2 linked regions of the Tamandua tetradactyla genome follow. The protein of the gene in region 2 purifies or fractionates together with the protein of the main gene of each other region. This does not show direct contact. Links are inferred from orthologs where the notes say so. Each region holds a gene or a part of one and is shown on either strand. Other genes may lie near its edges.

Evidence for each region.
Region 1: the proteins of RBBP7 (region 2) and SIN3B purify together in Homo sapiens (affinity purification with mass spectrometry; 5 studies listed by BioGRID and IntAct, counting the BioPlex papers as one, with this or other methods). This does not show direct contact. The link is inferred for Tamandua tetradactyla from reciprocal best matches to the Homo sapiens genes RBBP7 and SIN3B.

Annotation. Positions count from the first base shown.
Region 1 is NC_135337.1:95,277,212-95,287,224, reverse strand, and holds the start of SIN3B (paired amphipathic helix protein Sin3b), read right to left. Parts: upstream 4,488-10,013; coding exon 4,383-4,487; intron 4,144-4,382; coding exon 4,037-4,143; intron 2,876-4,036; coding exon 2,722-2,875; intron 1-2,721.
Region 2 is NC_135353.1:158,096,798-158,107,104, forward strand, and holds the start of RBBP7 (histone-binding protein RBBP7), read left to right. Parts: upstream 1-5,719; 5' UTR 5,720-5,734; coding exon 5,735-5,901; intron 5,902-10,307. UniProt on the Homo sapiens protein: Core histone-binding subunit that may target chromatin remodeling factors, histone acetyltransferases and histone deacetylases to their histone substrates in a manner that is regulated by nucleosomal DNA.

The DNA.
Region 1 (10,013 bases), on a different chromosome or scaffold from region 2:
AGGCAGCCAGAAGCCAAGCGATCACACGTGGCTCCTGGGGCGCCCAGCAGACGCGCCCGCAACACCTTCCAGAGCCAGGCCTGTGGGTTCCAGGAACTACCACGCCTCTCACAGCTGTCCTGGTGTCCTAGGAGCAGCCCAGGGTTCTCGTTTTCAGCAGTCCAAGGATCTCCTGCCTTGCCACCTCCCTGGGCCAGGCTGTTTGTCCCCTCTGCCAGCTTCCACGGGCCTTCCCTGGTCCCTGTTTCGCAAACACACGGTACGCTTCGGGCACTGTTGGGGGAACGGGGACACGGCCGAGGACAATACAGGGAGGGGCCGGCCCAACCTCAAGCACGCGCAGTCCCTAAGCAAAGCACAAGCAGCATGGGCCTGACGTTCTCATTCCAGCTTAGCTATTCTGGAATATATAGAGCAGGGTGGGCTGGGACTGACCAGGGGGTACAGTAGGGGCTCCCCAAGGAGGCAACACTGTAATTGAAGCCAGATGAGCAGATCCCAAATGGGGCTGGCTCCCCTGCACCCCTCATCGTGGCCCACACCTGTCTACCCTCCTGTTAAGAGACAGGCAGCATGCTTACACCTGCGCCAGCCTGCCCCCCGCCTGGGACACAGGCCAACATCTGCAAGCCATCCCCCCCACCCCCACCCCCCTCAGAGAACACTTGGCCCCACGTGGCAGCAGCACCGCAGCTCAGAGCCCTGCCCAAAGGCTCCCCAAAGCCTGGGCCTCTCTCACTAGCACCCCTGGTGTCTAGCAGCCACTCTTGTCTGAGGGGGACGAGATTTATGAAGAAATGGGAAAATTACACATATGAAAAAAAAAGCTGTACTTCCAAATGGTGAAGTGAGAAAAACCAATAAATAAATCACCCTGAGGGTTTTGCATTAGGGCAGATTAAGAGGTCCTCAGGCTATGAGGACCTTGCAAAGGGTTCCCAGGACCCCAAATGTCACCCCGCTCGTCCCTACAGTGAAGGCATGCCGAGGATGACATGGGCTGCTGGGAAGCAGAGCCTGGAAATCAGATTGTATCCATCGACACCCACTGAGACAGCGGGATTCAAAGCATCTTTCCAACCAAGACATGAAGCCCTGGAAACGGCTGCTTCCAGGCTGCAGAGGGTAAAACCTTGTCTAGTAGCTGTGAAGTAAAGGGTCTTAAAAGCCTTCTGCAAGGCCACAGACCGCTGGCACCCAAGCCAAGCAGGGTGAGACGGGGTGGCAGCCGGCTCTGTCACATGCATGGCAGCTTCCACCATCGGCGCAGCAGGGACTCTGCAACTCCTGAGGGAAGCATCGTCTCAGAACCCACCAGTTCTTTCCACGCCAAGACCCAGCCCCCAGAGTTACTCCAACAGTCAGGGGTCGCTGAAAAGCAATTTCCATGTGCCGAGTGCAATTAGGGGCTTGCGACTCCAGCTCTTTCTCAGCAAATGCTAACTACACCCGATGTTCACAGGTGCTTCAGCCTCCGTGAAGTGCTCTCACATCCATTCCCCGACGTCTGGGCACCGCCAAGGCTCTTAGCGACTGCAGGCATGAGCCCTGCGTTTGCATCCATTTGCAAGCATGGAATGGAAGGGCTTCTTCGTGCAGCAACCACCAGACTTCCGAGTTTCTAAGACTGAGATGCACTTTTCAGCTTTAATGAGACAGCACGCTGATGGGGAGCTTGCTGGGCAGACAGCAAATGGGGACTTGACGTGCAACCCACCCCTGGAGAGAGGGCAACCGCGGCCACATCGCCTCTCGCAGTTCTTTTTCCAGATCCCGACTCCCTAATTCATGTGACTCTGCCATCAAAGGAGAAACCTACCCAGAGCCTCCTGCGCAGATTTTTACCTTTTCTACGGAAATCCTGGGGGCAGGGACCAGAGGAGTACATTAAGACTAGTTGTTCTCAAACCAGGGACAATTTTGTCCCCAAGGGTCACTCGGTTGCATCTGGGGGCAGTTTCAGTTGCAACAGCTGGAGGATACAGTGTGTAGAGGCTGGGGCGCTGCTTAAAAACCCCACAAGGCACCGGCCAGCCAACCCTACCTCCACGGCAACAAACTGCTCCAAAGGGCAATAGTGCTGGGAAAAATTCAATGATTACCTTCTAAATGTAAAGCTCAAATAGGCTTTCTTTGGCTCAGAGGGCCTTGTAAGCTCAGACAACAAGGGACTGCAGGGAGACAGCAACCTGTCACCAGAGAAGGAGGGAGCTGAAGCCATGACCCTGGGGGTGGGAGAGGCTGACCTGAGCCAGCAACCCCAACAGGTATTAAAGAAACACGGCAACAATAAAAACTGCCATTTAGGCACTCATCGTAAAAACGGGGTTTCACTGGAGGCACCGAGAGCTTCCAGGGTGGACAGGGGCAAGTCTGGGGACTTGGAAGGATCTGTCAGGGACACTCCAGGCTCAGTCTTAAACCGAGGCAGTGGCGGCTGCTGAAGCCGTTATTTGGACTAAAAGTAAAATTCTGCGTTAGAAAATCACCTCCCTGACGCACACAAATGTTTCCACCCCTGATTTCAGTCCTCCCAACTGCTCCGTTTGGGGTGCAGTTGCTGCCCGGGTGGGAGCTGCCATCTATTCTGATTTGGGATGGAAGCAGCCGGCACACCTTGGGGAAGGACGGAGCCCCAGCGCCTTTCAGGCAGCCAGATGACAGGGGCACAGGCCCGCCATCCAGCACCGCATGGCCCCTCACGCCCCTATAGTGGCATACCTGGCTGGTCAGCGGCGACTGGACGTTTAGTTTGCCATTCTTGGGAATGTCGATTCTGTAGCCGAGGGGTAGGAAGGCATTGAATCCCACGATGAGGTCAGGGTGTTCGTGAAACAGCTGCGAGACGCGCCGGATGACACCAGGAGTGTCGATGCTACAACAAAGACGGATGCGTGTGGCCAAAAGGGTCCCAGGGAGCAAATCACAAGCTCCCCTACGCTGTCTCCAGACAGTGCCACGGCACCGGCTTATCATCAACAGCAAGGCCACCTAGAGTGTCTTGGCGGCTGGCAAGATTCCATAGGCAATGATCTATTTCCAGGGCAGCCTGGCCTGGCTCTGTATGCTCATCCCGTGAGGACCCTGAAGAACCCCAACAGGACATGAGGCTGCTCCCCCAAACACTCTGAGCCTGGGCATGTGCATCTGAAATGGCCAGGAGAGCGAGCTTGCAAGTCCTGGATGCGAAGGAGTGGCAGGAGCCAAAGCCCTCCACACAACAGGATGAATTTGGGATCAAACGTGACGTGGGATAGTCTCGAGCCCATGCGATTTGCTGCAGTGTATAAACACCGGGGGCCCTGTAGATATCAGGACTGCACAGGCACGTGAGGGGAGAGATGGGCCCTCCTTCAGTCACAGAAAGAGAGCCCTGCCGTGTTTCCCGAGACTGGGGAGCAGCAGGGTGGGAAGGAGACAAGGGAGAATTCATGGGTGGGAGGGTCTGAGTTCCAGTCCAGCCTTCTGTAAATCAAACGCCTGGTCCTGTGCTTCCCCAACTGTCCCTAACTCTCTTGATTCTGTGCCTACAAAAACAACTCGTGTTTTTAAATGCTTTCTGCGTGCCAGGTCCCTTAGTAAGCATTTTACCCCCATTGCTTCCAAGCAGGGCCGGGCCTAGGGCGAAGCCCAGCGACAGCCTCACCCCCAGGGGCAAAATTTATGGTGGAGGGGAGGGATCGCCAAGAACCTCAGAATAAATAACATTTTAATTTGATACTGTACAAGATTCTGAATTACTGCAAGCAGTTCCTGGGTTCCTGGATCAGCTGAATCTATTAAAGATCAGCATTCTCAACAGGCAGGATTCCACCCCCACCCCCCTTGCCCTGCTGGCCTCACCCTAATGGCAGCCCTGCCTCCAGGAATCCCCTTAACAGCTCCACGGGGTGGGGACCACCCACTCCCATTTTTTAGAAGACGACACTGAGGTTCAGAGAGGATCAGCAACCTGCACAAGGTCACCCGGCACTCGGGGAGAGCAGGGCAGCCCAGGGGAGGCCCCCCAGGGAGGAGGAAGGGACCCCGCGGGCACCTCTGGCTCTTGAACTCCTTCATGATCTCCAGGAAGCCGTTGTAGGTGGCAGGGTCGCTGCCGAAGCGGATCTTCACCTGGTCCAGGTAGGTGAGGGCATCCTCCACCTGCAGGGAGGGGGAGGGTCCCGGCGGGCCCGGGTCAGCGGAGCGGGGGCCGGGGACCCGCAGGGCGGTGGAGGTGAGGGTCGGGGCCGGGGTGCGGGGGCCGGGGTCTGGGGAGGCCGAGGCGGCGCCCGGGCCGGGCGGGGCCGGGTGGGGGGCGCGGGCCTGAGGGGGGGCGGCCCGAGGAGACCGGAGGAGACGGGAGGACCTGGGTCCCCAGCGGAGGGCGGGGCGCCACTCACGTGCACTGGCAGCTTCTCGTGGCCCGCGGAACCCGAGCGGCCCCAGCGGGCGCCCCCAAGCCCCCGACCCGCGGGGCCGCCGCCGCCGCCGCCAGCGTGCGCCATGTTGGAAGTCGGAGCCGCGGCCCGCCCCGCCCCTCCCGCCCGGCCGCCAGCGGCGCATGCGCGGGCCCCGCCCCGGGGTGGGGCCGGGAGGGGCGGGGTTTCCTCGGCGTGGGCGGGGTTTCCTCGGGGCGGGGCCTCTCTGTGAAGCTTTTACAACAGGTGAGCAAGCTCATAACCTCTCCGGCCACCGAGCGCTGTCGGAGTGGTCGGTGCGGTTTTAAAAAGTTGGGGGTGGGGGGAAATCCACAAAAGAAGAGCATTTCGTGTTGCGCGAAAATGCTGTGAAATTCACAATTCAGTGTCTCCGCACGTGGGTTTCCACCTGAATCTGTGGCTGCTTCTGCGCTCAGGTGGCAGAGCTGGGCCAGGAAGGCAGAGCTGAGGCAGCAGCCTCTTCCCCAGTTTTCTCACCTCCATCTCCATCAAGAGACGCTCCTAAACCTCTGCTTCCAGACATCCAGGGTCTTCCTGTGTCTTAGGAGATTAAATCTCAGCAGCCTCACGCAGCGTTGAAGACCACCAGAAACTGGTCCCCCGCCCACCTTTCCTGGCAGGATTTCCCACCCAAGCCAAGTGCTCTCTATGAGGGAAGAACATCCAACTTACTCCTAACCAGCTTGGCTGCTTCCTACCCCCATATATCAGGACATGCCATGTCCTCCTCCATGGTCCCTATTTTGTGTCCTCGTTGCTGAGAAAACTCCTACACATCCTTCAAAACCCATCTCAAATGTCCCCTCCCTTGGGAAGCTTCTCAGACCCTGCCTTTTATTCTCATAGTCCCAGGCATGTCATTTTTGTTTTATGCTTCATCTCTAAAACAGTTGCCTGACATGGTCACATCAGCGAGCACTGATCGAGTGAGTGAACATTCAACTCATGACCACGTGGCATCTTGTTTTTCATATGTGAAGATGGGCAGGGAAGCTGAGACTAAATATGAAATGATGGCATCATGTGCCAGGCTCTGTGTAAGGCATCAGGAATGGAATAATGATTAAAAAAAAAAACTGAGCTGGTTCTGCCCTTCCAGAGCTCTCTGCCTTTTAGGATAGATATATAGGAATTATACAAACAATTGTTTCTGTGCAGACACATGTGATGTAAAGGCTTAACTGTAACAAATGCTTCCAAGAGGAGGTAACAGAGTATTCCAGTCACTATTTCCAAGTAACAAAGCACACTCAAGACTTGAAGGCTTAAAGCCTTATGTTATGCACAAAACTACAGCTTGGGGCAGGTGGGGAGGGGAGAGCTCAGCTCTTCATCCTCCACATCTGGGAGGCTTTGCTCTCTCCCAAGCCTGGTATTTGCTGCTGTGTGAGGTCTTCCCTGGGACAATCGCATGGACACCTCCCTTTCCCCATGCAGCTGGAGTCTCCCGACGAAATGGTGTTGCATCCGCTGAACCAACAGCAGGAGTCATCGAGAAAGAAAGAGGGGGACACCCAGTTGGGACTGCCCCAAACCACCCCACAGTGGGCCTGTTGAGCTTCCGAAGAAAGAAGGACTGGACACCAGGACGACTGGTCCTTAGGCATTTATTAGGAAACTTCCAGAAAGCTGCAGCTACCTTGGGACAGACAGCATGATGGCAAAAAGTTCGCTCTGGTATGTCGGCACCTATGGACCCACTCTTTAGATTAAAAAGGCCCAGGGCCCTAAGCATGCTGACGGCCAGGGGCTTGCGGGCACATTTTGGGAAAACATCTGGGGATATGCTTTTTTCTCAACGTAAGATGCCCTCAGGGTGGGCTGTGTGCTTCCGGGAGTTGCAGGAGGGCTGGCAGAGGGGGTGGGGGTCAGGGGAGTGGTCACTTCTCGGTCAGAGAGGAGACGCTGTGTGCAGCTGGGTTCCGAGAGCAGGTGTCCTGAGACAGCCAGGTTGGAGCGCCCCAGCCTTCGTGCCCTCGGAAGTCATGCACAGGCTTCTGCACCGCGTCCTTTCCAGAGAGGCAGTTATGGGGTCCCGCCCCACTTCGAGAGGAGGGCAGATGGGCCCCACAACTGGGCAGTGCCAGGGTCTGGAACAGCATGCGAGGTGGGAAATGCTGCCATGACAGGTCTTGGAAAATGCTCTCTGCCTCCCGGGGGACTTACTCCAGTTTAGCAGAAGATGGAGAAGGCTTCCCCCAGGAGGCGGGGCTCCCGTTGAGAGCTGAAGGGTGCTAGGTGTTAACCCTGAGAAAAGTCCGATTGAACGGCTGTGCAAGAGCCCTGGGGTGGGAGGGGAAGCACAGCACGTTCTACAACAGACAAAAAGGCCAGCACTCCTGGACTGCAGAGAGGGAGGGAGAGAGGAGGTGCAGGGGGTGGATGCTGAGTGGAGTGGGAGCAGAATCCTAGGGATAATTTAGGGCTTTGGGGGTTGACCTTTAGCTGGTAGAACTGCACTTTAAAAAAATATATATATATATATTCATCATCATGATCATTTCTTAGAATGTTTGCATGAATCCAGAAGAAGAAAATAGAAAAAAAATTCATACGTACCATATCCCTTACCCCTCCCTTTCATTGATCACTAGTATTTCATCCTACTAAATCTATTTTAAATTTGTTCCCCCTATTATTCATTTATTTTTAATCCATATATTTTACTCCTCTGTCCATAAGGTAGATAAAAGGAGCATCAGACACAAGGTTTTCACAATCACACAGTCACAATGTGAAAGCTATAGCATTATACAATCATCTTCAAGAAACATGGCTACTGGAACACAGATCTACATTTTCAGGCAGTTCCCTCCAGCCTCTCCATTACATCTTTTTTTTTTTTTAACTTTTTTTTATTAATTAAAAAAAATTAACAAACAAAACATTAAGATACCATTCCATTCTACATATACAATCAGTAATTCTTAATATTATCACATAGTTGCATATTCATCATTTCTTAGAACATTTGCATCGATTTAGAAAAAGAAATAAAAAGACAACAGAAAAAGAAATAAAACGATAATAAAGAAAAAAAAGATTATACATACCATATCCCTTACCCCTTGCTTTCATTTACCACTAGCATTTCAAACTAAATTTATTTTAACATTTGTTCCCCCTATTATTTATTTTTATTCCATATGTTCTACTCTTCTGTTGATATAGTAGCTAAAAGGAGCATCAGACACAAGGTTTTCACATTCACAGAGTCTCATTGTGAAAGCTATATCATTGTTCAATCATCATCAAGAAACATGGCTCCTGGAACACAGCTCTACATTTTCAGGCGGTTCCCTCCAGTCTCTCTGCTACATCTTGAACAACAAGGTGATATCTATCTACTTAATGCATAAGAATAACCTGCAGAATAACCTCTCGACTCTGTTTGGAATCTCAGCCATTGACACTTAGTCTCATTTCACTCTTCCCCCTTTGGTCGAGAAGGTTCTCTCAATCTCTTGATGCTAATTCTCAGCTCATTCTAGGGTTTTTCTCAATCCCTTGATGTTGAGTCTCAGCTCATTCCAGGATCTCTGTCCCACGTTGCCAGGAAGGTCCACACCCCTGGGAGTCATGTCCCACGCAGACAGGGGGAGGGTGGTGAGACTGCTCATCATGTTGGCTGGAGAGAGAGGCCACATCTGAGCAACAAAAGAGGCTCTCTTGGGGGTGACTCTTAGGCCTAAATTTTAAGTAGACTTGACCTATCCTTTGTGGGGTTAAGTTTCATATGAACAAACCCCAAGACTGGGGGCTCAGCCTATAGCTTTGGTTGTCCACACTGCTTGTGAGAATATCAAGAATTCAACTTGGGGAAGTTGAGTTTTCCCCAGTTCTCACCATTCCCCGAAGGGGGCTTGCAAATACTTTTCCAGTCACTGATCAAATCACTCTGGGATTCATTGGGGCATCACTCTGGGCAAACCAACAAAATCTCATGTCCTACCTCAGATTCCAAGTTCTTACGACATTCAATCAAACTATCTACATGAGTTATATTAGGAAATGCTCTAGTCAAAATATAAATTTTGTAACAAATAAACATTTTTTTGCTTTAGTCTCACACAGAAGGTGACATTTTAAAGTATTAATTATCATCTGTTTTCAGCACACTACAATAATGACATTCCTTTGTTCTTCCTCATGCAAAAACATTTTTAAAGTTTGTACATAGTACATTTCACTATTATTATACACTCTAGGCATTCCTAGATTATACCATCTCGATCTTTACCATCTATCTTTCTTTCTGATTTCATTTATGTCCCCAGCCCTCCTCCCTCTATCATTCTCACATGCAGCTTCATTCAGTGTTTTAACATAATTACATTGCAGTTAGGTAGTATTGTGCTGTCCATTTCTGAGGTTTTTTTTTACCATCCCTAACACACCTTTGGTCACCATTATACTTTATAAGATTCTGATAAAACATTTATTATGCTCTATTGCAATTTTTTTTATTAATTAATGGAAAAAAAGAAATTAACCCAACATTTAGAAATCATACCATTCTACATATGCAATCAGTAATTCTTAACATCATCACAAAGATGCATGATCACCATTTCTTAGTACATTTGCATCAGTTTAGAAGAACTAGCAACACAACAGAAAAAGATATAGAATGTTAATATAGAGAAAAAAAATAAAAGTGATAATAATAGTAAAAAAAAAAAAAAACCTATAGCTCAGATGCAGCTTCATTCAGTGTTTTAACATGATTACTTTACGATTAGGTATTATTGTGCTGTCCATTTTTGAGTTTTTGTATCTAGTCCTGTTGCACAGTCTGTATCCCTTCAGCTCCAATTACCCATTATCTTATCCTGTTTCTAACTCCTGCTGGACTCTGTTACCAACAACATATTCCAAGTTTATTCACTAATGTCAGTTTGTATCAGTGAGACCATACAGTATTTGTCCTTTAGTTTTTGGCTAGTCTCACTCACCATAATGTTCTCTAGGTCCATCCATGTTGTTACATACTTCATAAGTTTGTTCTGTCTTAAAGCTGCATAATATTCCATCGTATGTATATACCACAGTTTGTTTAGCCACTTGTCTGTTGATGGACATTTTGGCTGTTTCCATCTCCTTGCAATTGTAATAATGCTGCTATAAACATTGGTGTGCAAATGTCCGTTTGTGTCTTTGCCCTTAAGTCCTTTGAGTAGATACCTAGCAATGGTATTGCTGGGTCATATGGCAATTCTATATTCAGCTTTTTGAGGAACCGCCAAACTGCCTTCCGCAGTGGTTGCACCATTTGACATTCCCACCAACAGTGAATAAGTGTGCCTCTTTCTCCGCATCCTCTCCAGCACTTGTCATTTTCTGTTTTGTTGATAATGGCCATTCTGGTGGGTGTGGAATGATATCTCATTGTGGTTTTGATTTGCATTTCTCTAATGGCCAGGGATGTTGAGCATCTCTTCATGTGCCTTTTGGCCATTTGTATTTTCTCTTCTGAGAAGTGTCTGTTCAAGTCTTTTTCCCATTTTGTAATTGGATTGGCTGTCTTTTTGTTGTTGAGTTGAACTATCTCTTTATAAATTCTGGATACTAGACCTTTATCTGATATGTCAT
Region 2 (10,307 bases):
AAAAGAGAACTATGGAAAGCCACTTTAAAAAAAAAAAAAGAATCTATGGAAGAATATGGGAAGCCCACGGAATCAAAGGTAGAGATGTGGGAGGGGTGGGACCAGAGCACAGCCAGGTAGCTAGGAAGCAGGAATCAATGGGCTGCCCTCTGAGGGTGCTTCACCAGCATGAATCTACAGAATCCACATCCCAGGAAGGGCATGGCTTTCAGGCCCCTGTGGTCACAAGCCTACCTTACTGGTTGGTAGTCAGCAGGACATACCAAGTGACAGACCCACCAAAATGTGTCCAATTGAGGAAGAATAGATCATGGAAAAGAAATTTAGCAGGCTATTCCCTACTGAAGGAAGAATGGATGATGGTCAGCAATTACAAATTACAAATTTGTGCTACAAGGAACTTCAGATGAAATCATCAGTTGTAAATTAAAACGCATTATACACTAAAACTTTGAATAAAAGAATTATGTAAAAAAAAAAGAATTATGTGCTTGGGGTGGAATGTTCAGGGAAATCTTTCTAAAAGAAGTTTCTACAGGTGAAGCCTTCCCATCACTGCTTATGGATTGGGACAAGCCCAGGAGGAGTTTTTTTTAATCACTGTTTTTTTCATTTGACAAATATTTATTTACTACGCCCCACTGATTCTAAGCCCCAGTGACTATGGTCTAGGTCATTTCCTCTATGCAATGTCACCAAAGCAGAGCTAGTGTTACTTAACATTAACAGGGTAAATTGGCCTTTTAAAAATCTAGAAAGACACCCTACAAAGGTTAAATATTAACATACTTATAAATATAAAACAATTACTTCACTTCACCTAATAAAATACAATAGTAAATGAAAACAAAGCGTAAGTTCAAACAATTATAGTACATTTTCTATTATAATATTTTTCCTTTAACTCCTCACACAATTGCGTTAAAAGATATTTTAAGAGAAACTACTTAGTATTGTGTCACACTAGGGCAATTCTTTTTATTTTTCTGTATTACTCCTTTGTCATTTATTTATATATTTTTTCTAAAATGTGTGGGGTTGTTTTCTGTTTATAGGAGTAATGTGTGACCATTAGAGAAAAGTTTTAAAATAGAGCAATATATGGAGAATAAAATACCCATCAACCATTAATACCAGTACCAAGAGACAATGGTTGTCAGTATCTTAGTGTATTTTCTTCAGCTCCTGATGATTCGGATGAAAACAATTTGGCCAAAAGCAAAACTAGTATTCTTTATGTTCCCCTTTTGCTTTATAATTTCCTGCTCTTTCTGTAATGTGCTTTGCTTTTATACTAAAACAAATAATAAAGAAACAAGATCTCTGTCTTATTCATCCCCTTTATCTCCATATCCAGCACATTTCTTGGAACTCCAAAAATATTTTCTGGAAGGCTAAGATTTTCACTCTAAACTAGTGAGATGGAGTTGTTAATAAACACAGCATTACACTACAGCTATGCATGGGTATAACTTCTCTCTTCTTTTAGTGAACGGTTCATTCTATTAATACGTGATCAATTCTCAAAAATTTTGCTTTCTTACTATAAGACTGATCAGATTCAAACTCCAATCCAATATCCACTAGCAATGTGACAACAAAGATCTGCCCTCAAATCTACATTCTAGTGAGAAAGCCATGATCAAACATTTGTCAGATGGTATGACAAAACAAGTGCTAGGGAAAAATAATAGACTGAAGGGGACAGAAGATGACTTCAGGTGGGGGGTACATGTGGGGGATCAGAGATGGCATAAGATTTCAAAATATACTAGTGCAGTAATTTTTGAAAATCTCAAGTTGTGACTAAGTGCGATCATGAAATCAATTTAGAGGATGAGCTGCATAGTTTTAAAAAAATGAAATATAAAGATACAGAGCCCATCACATATATTAAAGGTAAGCACTGTTTTGTGCTTGTTCCAGTTAACTCACACAGGTACTAGTCTGTAAAGCACTGCCTGGCATGGAGAAAGGCGTGATTAACTTCTGAACTTTGAAGGAAAGAGTCTTAGAGAAGGGTACCTCTCTCGGTTAGGATAGTCACACCTTGTGCCTGCACCTGTTCATGTCTTACTCAATTACATAACGGACTTAGCTGGGTGCAACAGAGACAAAAAGACAATGCAGTAAAAGAGGGAAAAAATATCAGGATCAGAGCTAAGAGGTAGGGGAGAAAGGCAAAACAAAACTAAACAGTTAAGCAGTTCAAGAGAGAGAACTGTTTTCACATTTTTCCAGGCAAAAAGTACCCCATAGGAAAAACACCAAAAAAAAAAAAAAAAGCGAGAAATAGGATTGACAGATTTAACAACAAAAACAAAAATCACCAAAATCCAAAGCTAATCATATATGCTATACATGATAAGTGCATGACACTCGTAAATATTTTTAGAAACTTCCCTAATATCTGTTCCATACTCCCTGCTCCTATTCTCCTGCTATCAAGATTTTAAAGCCATACAGTTTGGAAAGGTTTCTCTTTTTTTCAGCCCTTTAAACATTTAATACATTTTGAAAATCATGCCTACCCATCAGGAATGACTAAATTATATTAATGAGAGACTGGAAATCGTCTGCCAAGCCTTCCCTGGCCCTGCAAAGGACGGGGTTCCCACTGAAGCAGGGCTGTGATACAGGACTGTTCTAGAACAAAACCAGCAAACTACAGTTCGCTGCCTCGTTTTCCTATGGTCCATGAGCTAAGAATGACTTTTACATACTTTTTAATGGTCGGGAAAACAAACCAAAAGAAGGAGAATATGTTGTGGCACATGAAAATTATATAAGGGTGCACCAGCGGTTCAGTGGTAGAATGCTCCTGCCATACGGGAAACCAGATTCAATTTCCAACCGATGCATGCCAAAAAAGGTTATATGAGATTCACACTTTAAAATATGGTGAAAATGGCAAATTTTATATTATATACACGTGATACCACAATGTAATTTTTAATTACATTTAATTCAAATTTCGGAGTCTATAAAGCTTTATTGGAACACAGCCAGGTTCATCCATATTGTCAAAGGCTGCTTCAATGTTAAAAGGGCGGCAGAGTTGAACAGTCAACCGCAAGGCCTAAAATATTTACTACCTGGCCCTTTATAAAAAAAAAGTTTGCAGATCGTGTTCCTAGAATACAAGGGCCGTACTGCTTAATCACCCTTCCAATCCTCTTCCCTCTCTAGCCACCACTCCAGCTTTAGTCAAGAACAAGATTGCTGTGCCTGCCATGGAGGGAGGGCGTTATAATAATGAATTGTATCGAAACTTGAGACATAAGACTATAACTTTCTATATAAGGCCATATGAGTGGTTCTGCCACCAATTAGAGTAACTTCTGGGTTCGTTTCCCGATCAGAAAAGTGTGCATCACAGCAGCAGCTGCACCATTTCGTTTGAACATCACCATGGTCACTTGCGTGCAGGCACTTGGAAACGTATCAAGGCAACAAGTGTTCCGAGGGTGTTTTTGCAAGGCGGAGCGTCTCTCCGAGTCTGGATATAGACTGCGCTGCCCTCTGCAAGTCTGCACCTCCGTCGCTCCCCGCCCGCTCCCCTCTACGTCCAGCCCTCCTTTCAGTCTCTCACTTCCCCTTTCGGCCCCGCAGCCCGCTGGCTCCACACCCACCTCCCTCCCCCTTTCCTCAGAGCCTACCAAGTTGCCCGGGAGCACCGGGTTTAGGTAAAACCGGCCCGGGTCAGCCCGGCCCAGCACTGTCCAGTCAGGATGGTGGGTTGCCCTGGGACCCCTGCAGGTGGTAAGAATGACTCAGCAGGGCCCAGGCCTGGGCCCGAGACGCGAACGACCCAGCCCGGGGCCCAAGTCCCTTGCACTACGAAAAGGCCGCAAACCATCATTTGTTCTGGGCCCAAATACCCCAACAAACGGAAATTTAATTCGAGTCCGTTTCCGACCGCTGTGGCACCAGAGTCAGGCTGTCTAGGCCCCCACAGGCCGCACGTTTAAATTAACAGGGCGGGCACGGCGACTACTACAGCCAGAAAATGCCTGGGGCCTCTTCAAAAGGTCCCCTTCGACTCCCACAAACCGCACCCCACCCCCACCCCGGGCCGACCTCGCCCGCCAGAGGGGGCGGCGCGCCGGCCCCGGGAAAGGCCAGCGTCTGCTTGGAGGAGAACCTTTAGGGGTGCACTCAATCGCATGCCCGGGACTACCAGGGAAACGCACTAATTTCTTGAGAATTGAAAACAATTCCTAAAACTCTGGCCCACAGTCCCCGGCTTGCTCCCGCCCCCAAAGATTTCGCCCGGCTAGGCGGCGGCAGCCTCCCTGCCCCCTCTCCCTTCCCCCCACCACCTCGTTTCAGACAACCACGCCCCGCAGCCCCAGGGCTCACCGCCCCGGGGCCGCCAGCCCCCGCGCAGCTGGGCACGCCGCGCCTCCATTCGCCCCGCCCCCGCGCGTCCCCATCCACCCCCGCGGCCGGCCCTGGGAGCGCCAGGCGAGACCTTGCGCCTGCGCGTCGCCAACTTCCTGCCGCGGACCTCCCCGCCCACCCCCAGAGTCCCGCCCCCGAAAGCCGCGTGAAACCCGCCCGCCTCACGCCATTGGGCGAGGCGCAGGAGCCGTTGGCTCCCAGGCCCGCCTCCCCACCGCCTCTCACTTTTCCCAGGCGGATGCGCCTGCGCCCAGCAGCCTGGGCGGGCTGAGAGGCGCGGGTTGAAAAGTCTCGTTCCAAGTTTGGAGAGAGAGAAGCGCAGCACAGACCTCGGTACCCGCGAGAGGGGAGGAGGCAGGAAAGAAGGACGCGGCATCTGGGGGAGCACGCAGGCAGCAACGGAGCTCAGGCTTCGGCAGCTAGAAGTGCGTGACGCTGCTGGGAAAGGCAGGAGCGCCTGCGGTTGGGCTGCTCTCGACTAGCGAGGGGAGTCCGAGGCGGCGGCGAGGGGCGAACGACCCGACGCAAGATGGCGAGTAAAGAGAGTAAGAGGCCCTGCGGGGCGGCGCGCGCCGGGGCTGCGGGGGGCGGCGGGCGCGCGAGGCCGCGGCACGCGCCGGCGAAAGGCGCGAATTGGCGTGCGGAGCAGGGGGCGGGGCCGGGCGCCAGGTTGGGCGCGCGCCTCGAGGGGCCTGCGCGGGACGCGGCCGCGGCGCGGAGGGTTCCGAGCACTTCCGGAGCCGGGCGCGGGGCCCAGGATTGGGCCCCCGGCGGCTGCGCTCTCTTGGGCGCTCCCGGCATTGGGGCGGAGGCGGCCGCCACCGGGCAGCGGGGACGGCGGTTCTCTCCGCACGCGCGCGTCCACCGCCTTAGGGTCGCGGCCTCGGCCGCGGGGCCTCTGGAGCCGCTTGGCCTATGGCTGCCCGCGCGGGTATCGTGGGGCCTCTCCTGGTGGGGGATGAAGGGAGGGGGCTGATGGTTTTCTGCTACGTGTAGATCTGTCTCCGAGTGGGTTATAGGGATCCTCTAGATCCACACAATCCATCTCCTTAGAGCAGGTGCGAACAGCTGTAAAGGACAAAACAATTCCTAAAATCAGAGGCGGTTTGGCGTCCCTGTTACTATCCTATTCTGTTTGCGCAGGAGATATTGAGCTCAAAGTGCAAAAAATAAGCTTTCTGGCATTAATATTCTGTCCACGTTCTGGGGGAGCAGTTTTTTGCCTCTAAAGTAAAGATAAAGGGATAGATGAGAGGTGTGGCCATCTCGAGGTGACCTCTCCAGTACCTGTGTACAGTTTCTGACTTCGGTCTCTCAGCCACTTAATCGTATGAGCTTTCTCCAAATTTCAGTGTTCGAAGATACTGTGGAGGAGCGTGTCATCAACGAAGAATATAAAATCTGGAAGAAGAATACACCATTTCTATATGACCTGGTTATGACCCATGCTCTTCAGTGGCCGAGTCTTACCGTACAGTGGCTTCCTGAAGTGACTAAGTAAGGGTTTCTGGCAACTTTTATTTTGCAGAAATTGAAGTGTCGACCTGAATTTCTTAGCGTTCTATACCTAGAATGTAAGCTCGTAATCATTAGCCCTTGGATGAGGTGGTAGGTGGTTTTTATTTTTAAAGTTGAAGTGACTTATGGGATGAATTCTGATGTATACGCGTGGCATTAAAGGGGGAGAAAGGCTCCTTTGTGAGAATAATGATGTTTTTAGGAAACACTGAATATATTGAATGGTCTTGGGCTGAGATATAGAGCAGCATCTCTCGGGGCCCTGGACTACTGCATTTCTTTCAAACTTTATTGAAAGCATGCACACAGAAGATGCACAAATTGTAAATGTAATTTTTTTTGATGAATTTTTACAAAAAGAACACGCCCATGTAGCTGGCACTCAGGATAAACAGTTTTGATTGGCAAAGGGAAAAAGTTTGGCAACGGTTTCCTGAAGAAAGGCTGTTATTGTCTTAAAATATAGAATATACTTTGAGATTGCTGTTAGTTTTCATTAGAGTGTTCTTTTTAGCTAGTCCTAAAATTTCTCTGGTAATAATTGCTGACATTTATTGAATGCTTAGAACAGGATCTGGCACATCTGAGAAGTTTTACGTCCTGTTATTTGGTTTAATCCTCACAAGGGTACTACAGTGCATAGGTGCTTTTATTATCCTGTTTTGCTGATGAGGAAACTGAGGCTGAAAGGTTAAAAAACATGCCCAGGATCACCTACCTGATAAGAAGTGGGCTTAAGAACACAGACCTGATGGCTCCAGAGTTCAGACAACCTCTGCACTAGCCTGCCTACCTTTCTCATGTGCTTGCCCTTTTCCTAGCAGAAACTTGACTGTAGACTTTAAAGGTGTATTAATTTTGGGTATCATGAGTACATAATTTAATGGGGGTTAAATCAAATAATCTATAAAGTGAATTTTTGTGATAAGTTATAAAAATAATTTTAAAGTTGTTTTATGTTCTATTTTATAAATTATTACTTATTTTATAAAATTATAGTTTTGTGAAAGATTAACTTATTTTGCAATGGCCAGATTCTCCGTGTGCAAACGTTTGATTCCACACAGATAGGGTCTCCGTTGGTGTTCCTAAATGTCTGAGTGTAAATGTACAGATACAGGAAAGGTAGCCAAGAACTAGTAATGAAGACTTCCGAACACGGGCATTTTGTAACTACCTTTGATAGATTTCTAAAATAGATTGAGCGTCATATGCTTAAGGGTATTTAGATTCTGGTTTGAAGCATCTTGTGCATTTGACTCTGTCTTCCTGTTAAGCAAATTCAAAACTTTTCCACAACTTAACGTACCTTACCTTGCATCTTTTTGACCTGTAATATTGTAGAAAAAGCCGGGGGCTTTCAGTTTAGAGACCTGGGTTTGAAGATTGCCCCTATTTGTGACCTAGGGCGAGTTCAGACTCTATCTCCACATAGTCTGGACTGTAAATGGAGATGCTGGTAGTATTGACCGCCTACACTTGAGGGAATTAAATAAGATCATCCATATTGAAGTCCTGGTGCATAGTAAGCACCCAGTAAACCTGTTGTGGTAGCTGATGCTGATTTTCCCATTCCTTCCCCTTTGTTAGACAGGGTGGAAATAGTTCTGTGTTTCTCCGTTTGAATTTCTGTGGTAGTGACTAACTAAAATCCATTTTAAGCATTGCCAGCAATGATGTTTTGCTTATAGGTTTTAAAGATAAACCTATATGTTCCTCTTGGGTTGGACAGATTACTTTTATATTCACACTTAAGAACTTACCAGAAAATGCTTTAACTAAATTACATATTCTGTGGTGTTCTTCACATACAAAGAGGTTGTGGGATCTGGTTGTGGGAAGTGCAGTGGCTCTGGGAATGCAAGAAAATGCCAGCCAGCCTGCTTGCATTCTTGGATGTTGAAGACTGCTCTGTGGTGCTTTTAGCAGGGTTCTGTCTGGGATACGAAGGGAATATGATTGTGTTTTATCACTAACAAAACGGTAAAAATGTTGGCTATGTTTCTTACTGCCTGAGACCTTTAGCCCTCTCGTAGGTCTTTCTTCTTCTGCCTACATACAACATGTTTTCTATTACTTGAACTTTCTGAGTTGGTATCCTTAAATTCATTTAGGTAATTGTCCACATAGTTGATTTGGCTTTTTAAAGGTTTTATTTTTTAAAGTTCATAGATCATTATTTCATATCTTGTTAAGTAACTTCTTAATAAATGTATTGAGACTTAACTTAGTTTCTACCTAAAGAGCTTTTGCAGTCTATCAAAGTACGCAAGTATATAGAGTGAAGAATAAATCTCCCTTCCACGTCCCCTATTTTCCCAGCTCCCTTCCCCAGGGCAGGGACACTCATTTTCAATTTCTTAGCCATCTTGCCAGCATATAGAAGTGCGTATTTATCTCTTTTCCACCTTTTTTTGTGGTAACAGGTTGTTCATGTGACTTTTCATTAAGAGTGTATATTGGAGCCTTTTTCCTATCAGCATGCTTAAATAGGCTTCATTCTTTTCAAGGGCTTCATAGAATTCTATATGTCATCAGTTCCTTAGTGATGGGTATTTAGGTTGTTTTCAGTCTTTTGTGACTGTGAACAGTGCTGCTGAGGATAATCTTGTAATAAGACACATTTCTGTGATTGTGAGGTAAATTTCCTAGCAGTAGAGTGACTAGATCAAAGGATTCTGACACTGAAGAAGGGGACAGGCTCTTTTACCATTAGTACTTCTGCAGCCTTTAGGTACATCCAGTGTTAGAGGAAAAGAGTTTCCTTTTGATTATTTTAGAAAGTAGGCTTGTGTTTTGATGATGAAGTGAAAGGATTTGTAGTCAAAAGAGCAGTCCTTGTATGATTATCAAGTTGGGAAACTGGAGTAGTGGAATTTTATTAGAGCCAAGAAGAATTTTTTAAGATGCTTTGTTGTCCCAAGTCCATCTCCATCTTAGGACAGTGCCCCTTAAAAAGTTCCTGTGATGAACTGATGTGTCAAACTGTAACTTTTCCCTTTTGTTTTTACTTTACTGCTTAAACCCAATAAAAAACAAGTCGCTTCCTTCCATTTATATCAGTCCTAATATTGCTCTGTGGTGCCTCCTTTCTCTCCAGCATCTCTGTTCTTCTCAACTGTTTCTCATGTGGTATGTTTAAGTTCCCTTTCATTTCAAACTCTGCTTTTTCATCTAATCCCTCCTAAAGTACATTACCTAGAGCCTCATTTGTAAGTGGTTTTACCAGTTAGAAATGCACACATGCATGCGCTCTCTCACACTCTCAAGACCATCTAAGGTGAATTACCTTTTTTGATATATAATCCCCTCAGCATCCATCAACTAAGACCCTTGTCTTTACAAACAAGTTGCTATTGCTTAATTAACCATGGCTGCCTTATTTTGTTCTTTGTTCTGTGCACATTTGTTGTTCTTTTTACCTTAAGCCATATCTTAGCTTGGTTAACTTTTGTCTTATGTTTTTCAGTTATTGCTAAATTTTGTGCTTACAAGTAACATCCAAACCTTTTTTAAAAAAACCACTGGATCCTTTGTACAACTGAAATTTAGAGATAGATAGATTATGGCCCTTCTCATTAAGTTGGGACCATGGAACGCGGTTGAAAATTGCTGTTCATGCTAGTACAAATGGGAAAGCACTGTAGTTCTATAAAGATGCAAAAATTACTGATTGGGCCAAGAGGCATTAGCAGGTTCTTGGGCTTCAAGGTGAATTATCACAGAGCGAGGGAACAAAGACCCCTCAAGAAAATGTAAGAATACCCATTTCATAAACTTTAAACATCATAAACATAAATAAGGTGTTTTCATACCATGTCACTTGCACTCATGACCTATGTTTTTAGCTAAGGAAATAGGCCCTCAAGAAAGTTGTGATTTGAAGTAATTACATACAGCTAATTTTAGTTTGAGCCAGTATTTAAACTGTTTTTCTGACTCAACTCTTTATTCTTTCCATTCTACTTTATTGCCTCTTATTGGAAAATCAGAAACGTCTAGCATTTAATAAAATGCTGCTATGGGCAGAAGATATTTGATAGTCATGATAATCATGATTTATTAGTATGGGGATCTGTGAATGGGTGTTTTTGTGTGTTTCCTAATTTGGACCTACCTGTCCCAGAGTGCTACTCCAGAAAAGGTAGTGTTCCTGCTGATACTTGGAGGCACAGGAGGATGACTCTTTGAGGAAAGAAGCAATCCCTCTGTGTGTTGTTATTAGAACAGTTCCTTAAATTTGGACATCTGGGAATTGTGAAGTTGGTAACTTGGGGGGCAGGGTGCTGGCACATGGTTGATGCTTAGTGTGTATGTGTTTTGAAGAAATTTTGGTGTATTTTAGGAGGACTAGACTGAATTTATTAGCAGCCCAAAATTTCTTG